Arabidopsis thaliana: one gene and its partner. The protein of the gene in region 1 purifies or fractionates together with the protein of each later gene. This does not show direct contact. Each region holds a gene or a part of one and is shown in the gene's direction. Other genes may lie near its edges. The genes, in order: LSP1 and BTF3.

Region 1 (4,634 bases):
TCAAATTAGAAGAATGTAGATGTCTTATCTTTTACTTATGAGCAAATTAAAGCTATTAAGTTTTTACTTCTTTTTTTTGTTAAAATGATGGTGGTCTTGACACAAGCACTAGCAAATAAAAAATTGCTTTAACTCCACCCTTTTTTGTTGTCAACCATGCTAAACAAACTGATTTGAATTGAGTCTCAAAAAAAAAAATAGAAGGTTTATCACTAAAAGTAACATAGTTTTATTATTATAGAGAAATACACTAAAATAGCATTAAGCTAAGTTTTTGTTCCAAAAAACCATAAATAGTTTTTTTTTCTTTCCAAAATGCCTCTACAAACGATTTAGTACAAAAATACCACAAAGTCTAAAAATGATTTCTAAAGATTTTAAACCTTCAAAACTAAATCCTAAACCCTAAAATTTAAACACAAAATATTAAATGCAGACCCAAAGTTTAAATTATAGGTGAATTTTAGTTTTGTGGGATTTTCAAAAAAAGTATCTTTTACTGGTACTGTTACGAAAAAAACTGATGGTGTTACTTTTGGAACAAAAAACTTATCTTAGTGGTATTTTTGAGAATTGTCTATTATTATATCTTATTATATAAAGTATGGTTTTCGATTTTAGATTTTGACACATGTAATCTTATTATCAATTTTATTAAATGAGTAAAAATATAAATATAAAAACCAAAGTAAAATATTAATATATCTTATATAAAACAATTTTAAAAAATTGAAAGAAGATAAATATTAGAAAATTATATGTATCTTATCAAACAAAGATAGAAAATATAAGATTACATATTATTTTAAAGAAATAAAAATGTAAAGAAGATAATTATATGTATCTTACTGAAAGAAATTATAAATCAATTACTAATTCTAATTTGAAATTACTAATTCTAAAAGAAAATTGATTACCGTCTTCCTAAAAATTTTAAAAAGGATTTAAGGAAACGATCTTATTATATTAAATATAATACATAAAGGAATTTTACAATTAATTATAATCTTAGAAGGAAAAAGATTTCAAATACTCACCTCTATATAATTAGTAGCCGGATTTTATGCGGTAACTGATACAGAATGTACAGTTTTTGCCACTTCTTCTCGTCTTAAGAGAGAACGACGGCGATCAAACAAACGTCGCCGAAGTTTAGGCGGCGAGTGAGAGTATATGAGTTTATCAAGCAGAGATTTGTAAGTTTTCTTGTTTTTGGGGGAAAAAGATTAGGAATTATAATAACTTTATTTTTTTAATTTATATTTGGAACTATAATATAAAAATCTTATTTACATTTTTAAAACTATTTTGTTTCTTTAATTTATCTTATTTTATATTAAAAATTTTAAAATTTATAATAAAATTACATGTACCAAAATCTAAGATCTACAAAAATAACACATGTAACAGTCATATGAATTACTAAATTTAAAAATCATGCTTTATATAATAAAATATCTTTTATTACTCTAGAACCTCTAATGTAAACAATATTTTCTAATTTGATACTACTAATTAAGATTTTGCATTGACAATATGAAAGAAATTCCGCTATTTGGAAATTAGATCTCATACCTTGGTGTATTTTTTTTTATTTTTTTTTTAACAACACCTTGTTGTAAAAAAAAATACTTTAAACCCTTGTCTATTGGGATTCCACTTGCAATTAATTTTGGAGATTTTTATTTTTACTTGTTTTTTAAATACCAAAAGACAATAGAAAAAGAAAAAAGAAGAAAAGAAGAGTTAAATGCTCTGATGGACCGGCCCAAAATTGACCCAATAGAGTCCAGAAATAGCCCTTTTCACTTCTTAAACCATTCCAAAATACATCTCAAAAACAATCTCTCTGTCCCTCTCTCGTAACCAAAAGCCGTCTCAGAAGAAAACTCAACTGCGAAGAATATGGCGACCGATGATGTGAACGAGCCTCTCCCGGCGGCGGCGGAATTACCGGCGACAGAGGCGGAGAAACAACCACACAAGCTCGAAAGAAAGTGGAGTTTCTGGTTCGATAACCAATCAAAGAAAGGCGCCGCCTGGGGAGCTTCTCTTCGTAAAGCCTATACTTTCGACACCGTCGAAGATTTTTGGGGGTTCGTCTTTCTCTCTTCTCCTTTGATTTCAATATTTGTCAATGCCTTGCTTTGTAACTTCTAAATCTGGGATTTGTATAGAAGCTATGGTTATTGTGAATCTCGATCTATGTGTATGGATCCGAAAATCTAAGGATGTTAATTTTTTGGTTATTGTTAGATTGCACGAGACTATATTTCAGACTAGCAAATTGACAGCGAATGCTGAAATTCACTTGTTCAAAGCTGGTGTTGAGCCAAAGTGGGAAGATCCAGAGTGTGCTAATGGAGGAAAGTGGACTTGGGTTGTTACTGCTAATAGGAAGGAAGCTTTAGACAAAGGCTGGCTTGAAACTGTATTACATTCTAACCCTAACCCTAACCTTTTACTCTTCTGTGTTTTGTTAGATGATATGTGGTTTTGGTGACTGGTTCTATTTCTTATGATATGTAGTTGATGGCTTTGATTGGAGAGCAATTTGATGAAGCAGATGAGATTTGTGGTGTGGTTGCTAGTGTCCGTCCACAGTCGAAGCAAGACAAGCTCTCCTTGTGGACTAGGACGAAGTCTAATGAAGCTGTTCTGGTATGATGTTTGTTTGTCTTCTCACTATGTTTATATTGATGCTGGTGTTGGCTATTCATGATTATGATTGTTGGTGGGATATCCAAATTTAGTTTGGTAAACTTTAGAAAATACTAACACTCGTTACGAGAATTCTTAATGCTACACAGAGAACTATATAGCTAGTGGGTTTTGATGCTTAACTTGCTTTGTTGCCTGTCCTTGAGAGTTTTACCAGCTTCTGATGATTGAGATACTTCTGCAATAGTAAAATTGTTGTTTTTAATGTTAAGGTTATATGTTGCGACTTATAAACATAATAGTAAATATAATAGTTCATTGGCATTATAAACATAACTATCTTTGTCAATGGACATCTGTTTTAAAACTTGGCAATATGTTAAGATTGGTTTATGAATCTATCTGATGAATTTATTACTTGGTGTTTGTTATTGTAATTCAGATGGGTATTGGGAAGAAGTGGAAGGAGATACTTGATGTCACCGACAAGATAACTTTCAATAACCATGTAATTACACTTCTCTAAAGAAGAAGCTATCATCTTTTTGTACATGTTTTAGATCTCATGTGGCTTAATATATCTTTGTCTATACGCAGGATGATTCCAGAAGAAGCCGGTTCACTGTCTGAAGAAACGAGTGTGAAGCCAGAGGAAGATGCAATATGGCTTTTTTTGTGATACTGTTTGGTCGGTTTACTCAAATAGCTGAGACATTTAGGGACATTCACTTTGAGGTGTAAACTCTACAAAGTTTTCTGTTTCATTAAAATGATTTTTTGTTATAAATTAAGTTGAGTTATATAAATCTCTTTCGAAACCACCACTTGTTAGACAAATACAGAGATAATATACTCTTATTAGCAACACCCTAATGCTTCTCTTTTGTATTTTGTTGGATCACATAGTGTTAGTACATGTCTATCGCATTTGTAATTATCACTATATGAATTTACAATCTTACAAGATCTTATTTCTTTGTAGGTAAATTTCAAGAATCTGGTAAAAAATTGATTTAGAGCAGGATTCCACGATTTTCCTTTGTATTAATTGTTTTTGTACTGTGATTTTGAACCTTTTTAATTAATACTGTTGCAGTTAAGCAGTAGTTTAGTCTTTTATTAGTTTTATCCTCTTTTTATATAGCCGTGAGATTATGATTTCTTCTTCAGGAAGAGTCTATACCATTTTGAGTTTATCTTAAAGTTGCTTGAACAAGGAGATATGGTCGATTACAAATTGTGGATCTTCCATCTCCGATTCACAGTTTTTGGGTCCTCTAAAATGGTTCAAAAAACCTTATAACAATTCGTTTTGATTATTTAAATATTCACTTACAAGTTGCTTAAATCTATTTTAGGTTTAGGATGGACTCATATTGAAATTATAAATACAAACAATGTGTCAATTGGCTACTGAACTTTTAAAGCTTAGAGATTTTGGATTAAGGAAAAAAATTTGATTAAGATTTTTAGTATATGTTTATAAATTAATACTCGATACTAAATACATTTCTTCAATTCCAAATCGGCTACCCGAACTGATTAATATATTGTATATTTTTTTAATTAATAAACTATCATAGTCTCATTGTTATTAATTATAAAAAGATATAGCCAAATCAGGAAAGAAACCAACATGTTTAGGATTGAACAAACACGAGTCTGAAATTGGGTTTACAGTTCATTTTGTTGTTAACAAAACTATGAGATTGCAATTTACATCAATGAAAAGTTCTTAAACAAGTTTTGGAAAAACAAATTTCAGATTCATATGGTTTAATTAATCATTTTTTTCTCCAAACTGGATATTAGTGTTTTGTCTTATGTTGGAGTCGTACGGTTCTATTATTGCATTGGTAGATATGTAGTCGTTGTTTAATCTGGTAATTTTAATCAACTTCTCCAAGTCTTCAGTTATGTTCGGAAGCAAGGTCCATCCTCAAAAGAAGGCAAATATTAAAAGGATATTAGGT
Region 2 (4,242 bases), on another chromosome or scaffold:
TCCACTAGGCTAATGTTTGTTTATTTGAGTCTTCTAAAGGTTTGTCACAGTCTTCACCAAACCACTAGGCTTATATTTTATTCGAATCCGTACTCTTCTTATGGATGGTACGGAGTACGGACACCTGGCTGATGGAGCTAATTTGGTAACTCACAGCTGCGAACCGGAATTTGGTCCGGTTTAATTGCAATAGGCCAATAACGTAACGATGGAAAAGTAAGCGAAATGGGCGGAGAGTGAGGTGACTATTTTATTTAGGCCCATGGGCCAGGATCCATAAACTGAATAACAAAATATCCGACACCGATTCAGATCGCCGGCGGATATTCAGATCTCCTCCACATTACATTCTCCAAGGAATTTAACCTTTACCTACAAATCTAAGCTTCTGTCGTTGACTTCGAAAACTGATATCTATAAGTCAAAATCCCCATTCTCAATCGCTCATCGTCTTGTAGAACTAATTGACTAAACAATGGCGGACAACACAGGATCCGGTACGTCCATCTCTCTATTTTATGTCTGAATATAATGTTTCATGTCTATATACGGAGTTTTGTGGAATTGAATTTAGATTTTCGTGGAAATTTTGGAACCCTAGGTCTTTGATCCCTCGTAATTCTGTGCAGAGATGAAATCAGGTTCGTTTATGTTAGAGAAATCCGCCAAGATCTTTGTCGCTGGACATAGGGGATTGGTTGGATCTGCCATTGTCCGCAAGCTCCAGGATCAGGGTTTCACCAATTTGGTCCTTCGAACCCATTCAGAGCTTGATCTCACTAGCCAATCAGATGTTGAATCTTTCTTTGCTACAGAGAAACCAGTTTATGTCATCCTAGCTGCTGCTAAAGTCGGTGGGATTCATGCTAACAACACATACCCAGCTGATTTCATTGGGGTCAATCTCCAAATCCAGACCAATGTGATCCACTCTGCTTATACACACGGTGTGAAGAAACTCCTCTTCCTTGGTTCATCTTGCATTTACCCCAAATTTGCTCCTCAGCCGATTCCCGAATCTGCGCTTCTTACCGGTCCGCTCGAACCGACAAACGAATGGTATGCGATCGCCAAGATCGCGGGTATTAAGATGTGTCAAGCTTACCGGCTTCAGCATCAGTGGGATGCTATCTCCGGTATGCCCACGAATCTGTATGGTCAGAATGATAATTTCCACCCGGAGAATTCCCATGTGCTGCCTGCTCTCATGAGGAGGTTTCATGAAGCCAAAGCCAATAATGCTGACGAAGTTGTGGTTTGGGGAAGTGGAAGCCCGTTGAGGGAGTTTTTACATGTCGATGATTTGGCTGATGCTTGTGTTTTCTTGATGGATCAGTACAGCGGATTTGAGCATGTGAATGTAGGAAGTGGTGTTGAAGTGACGATCAAAGAATTGGCTGAGTTGGTGAAAGAAGTTGTTGGGTTTAAAGGAAAGCTTGTTTGGGATACCACAAAACCAGACGGGACACCAAGGAAACTGATGGATAGCTCGAAGCTTGCGTCTTTGGGATGGACACCGAAGATTTCGCTTAAAGATGGCCTCTCCCAAACTTATGAATGGTATTTGGAAAATGTTGTGCAGAAGAAGCAGTAAAAAAAACAAGGTCCAAAACACAAAGCAATATTCATTCTCTTTACACGTGAATGTTTATGCGTTTGATTTTTGGTTCTATACAGATCTCTCTATCTCTTTTATGTAATTTTTGTATTCATGGATTTCATACAGTTCAAGTTAAGCAAACTTACTTTGTAATAAATGTACCATTGTTGTTGAGATTATCAATAATCGAATAGCTTTCTTCTCTAAATTTTAGTCAACTAAACAAGTCTGTTCATTGATAAACTCATTTAGATAAATTTGTGGATTTTGAAATTCTGGTAACCAAAAGATTATGGTTTGCTACGCGCTAATACTGGTGATTGATTACGGCACAAAAGAGCCCAGTAAATAATTATTGGCCCAGTTTAGTTTTGGGCCTTATGGGCCAATATTATCATCGAGCATCCAACGGTAGTGATGGAGATTTCTTTATGGAATATCTGATATCCACCGTTAGATTAAGAGACGAGGTTGGCTCCGAATAGCATATAGTTAAAGGGCAAAACCCTGCGCCGCCCGCGTCTCTCCTCTCTCTGTTTCTTTTCTTTTTGTTTCATTTTCTTATCTCCTCACACTCTTCGAACAAGGAAGAACCCTAATCTCAAGGTAAATTCATTATCACTGTAATTTTCCTTTCTATTAGTGTTTTATCTCTCCGGTTCTAGGGTTTCTCTAATCCCCGATTTTGCAAAATGTCAGATATCTTTCTTTCTTGATTCATTTCGCTTCTTTCTGTAGATAGGATTAGTTTTTGTCGGTGTTTGGGAATTTACTGGGTTTTCAACTTCTCTGTGTGTTTGATTGGGGGATTTGGTATACCTAATCGATTGAAAATGATTAAATTTAGGTTAAAACTACTAGTCACATCACCGTGTCTTCATACGCATCTGAGTTTAAATCTGTTCGCGCTTACTTTCTTCTCACTAGTTTCTTGTATAATAAGAAGTTTTTGTGAATGTATTATTAGCAGTTAATGTGTTCATTGATTCTTTTGGAAGTGATTTGGGGATTGATGGATTTTGCTTCTTATTATGGTTTATACACAGATGAATAGGGAGAAGTTGATGAAGATGGCTAATACCGTCCGCACTGGCGGAAAGGGTACTGTCAGAAGGTATAGAGTTTTATTCAACCAATTTCATTGTTCAATACTTAGCATTTACTATGATTTGTGTTATGAAACCATTCGATTTTTACTTGCAGAAAGAAGAAGGCTGTGCACAAGACCAATACAACTGATGACAAGAGGCTTCAAAGCACTCTTAAGAGAATTGGAGTTAACTCCATTCCCGCTATTGAAGAAGTTAACATCTTTAAGGATGATGTTGTTATTCAGTTCATCAACCCTAAGGGTAAGTCATTTTTAACCATTTTTTATCTATACATCAGAACCTTTTTTTCATGTTACTGATCATTGTTCCTCCTTTGAATGTTACTACAGTTCAAGCTTCAATTGCTGCAAACACATGGGTTGTTAGCGGTTCTCCTCAGACCAAAAGTATTGCATCTCATAATATCTCTTAATCTCTACTTTCTTGTTTCTTCTTCATTTCATCTTCTCTGATTAATGTAAACGTGTTGCTTCCTGCAGAATTGCAAGATATCCTTCCTCAGATCATCAGCCAACTTGGTGTGTACCATGTAACTGTACAGCTCTTAAATGTTCTTCATCGATCCTAAGGTCTCTAACTTTATGTTACTTTGATCTCTTTCAGGACCAGACAACATGGACAACCTGAAGAAGCTAGCAGAACAGTTCCAGAAACAGGCTTCTGGTGAAGGTAATGCCGCCTCAGCAACCATACAAGAAGAGGATGATGACGATGTCCCAGAGCTTGTTGGAGAGACATTCGAAACTGCTGCTGAAGAGAAAGCACCAGCTGCTGCTGCTTCTTCTTAGAGAGAAAAGAGCGAGACCACATCCAAAAAAAAACCGCACTTTGATTTTTACATATCTTTATAATATGTTTGTTCGCTCGATCCTTTTTGTAGTTTCCGACCAGAATCTTGTTTTCCATCTAATGACTTAAGGTTTTTATCCAATTATTTGATGTCTTATTGATTCTTTGACAGCAAATCAGGTCCTCGTCTTCTTCTTCCTCTTCACTATGTGGATTAGAAGATTTTGATGTGACACATTGTCTTGTTGCATAAAAACCATTCCACCTGTACTGTATGAGTTTCTTCTCAAACTTTCCAGACATTTCATCACTTTCTCTACAAATTCTCTCTCAGAGACATGTCTATTCGTCGTCAAATCTCAATCTTTCTGAGTTTTCGTAAACCATGGCTTCTCTCTTTGTTTCTACTCCATCATCTTCCTTAACTCTTAAATCCTGTCACAGTTTGCATCTTCGTCGCTTTGACAGAGCAGAATTTTCGAACTTTGGGAAAGCTTCTGTGAATCAGACAACGAGAAGCAGACATTCTTTGAGATGTTCAGCGGAAGATGATCGCGTTCGTGAACCTGTGAACGAAGCTCCTTCTCCGGTGGCGTTAGCGGAGGAGCAAAAAGAAGACCACGATAACAATAATGCGCCGCCTTCTCCAGAGAGCAGTGAAGAAGAGGAGGAAAAGAAGTCGAAGCAGCAAGAGATGGATTGGAAAACAGACGAGGAGTTCAAGAAGTTTATGGGGAATCC

What was found.
Region 2: the proteins of LSP1 (region 1) and BTF3 purify together in Arabidopsis thaliana (affinity purification with western blotting, with the first as the bait; one study listed by BioGRID). This does not show direct contact.

Annotation. Positions count from the first base shown.
Region 1 is NC_003076.8:13,823,603-13,828,236, reverse strand, and holds LSP1 (Eukaryotic initiation factor 4E protein), read left to right. Parts: upstream 1-1,833; 5' UTR 1,834-1,905; coding exon 1,906-2,096; intron 2,097-2,256; coding exon 2,257-2,431; intron 2,432-2,529; coding exon 2,530-2,661; coding exon of another isoform or gene 2,662-2,667; exon of another isoform or gene 2,668-3,103; coding exon 3,104-3,169; intron 3,170-3,258; coding exon 3,259-3,291; 3' UTR 3,292-3,396; exon of another isoform or gene 3,397-3,616; intron 3,617-3,643; 3' UTR 3,644-3,813; downstream 3,814-4,634. UniProt on the Arabidopsis thaliana protein: Recognizes and binds the 7-methylguanosine-containing mRNA cap during an early step in the initiation of protein synthesis and facilitates ribosome binding by inducing the unwinding of the mRNAs secondary structures.
Region 2 is NC_003070.9:6,151,830-6,156,071, reverse strand, and holds BTF3 (basic transcription factor 3), read left to right. Parts: upstream 1-2,089; 5' UTR 2,090-2,206; intron 2,207-2,646; coding exon 2,647-2,714; intron 2,715-2,803; coding exon 2,804-2,952; intron 2,953-3,041; coding exon 3,042-3,098; intron 3,099-3,191; coding exon 3,192-3,230; intron 3,231-3,315; coding exon 3,316-3,500; 3' UTR 3,501-3,688; downstream 3,689-4,242. Other genes in the region: GER2 (NAD(P)-binding Rossmann-fold superfamily protein), read left to right, coding at 476-497, 630-1,594; EGY3 (ethylene-dependent gravitropism-deficient and yellow-green-like 3), read left to right, coding at 3,887-4,242.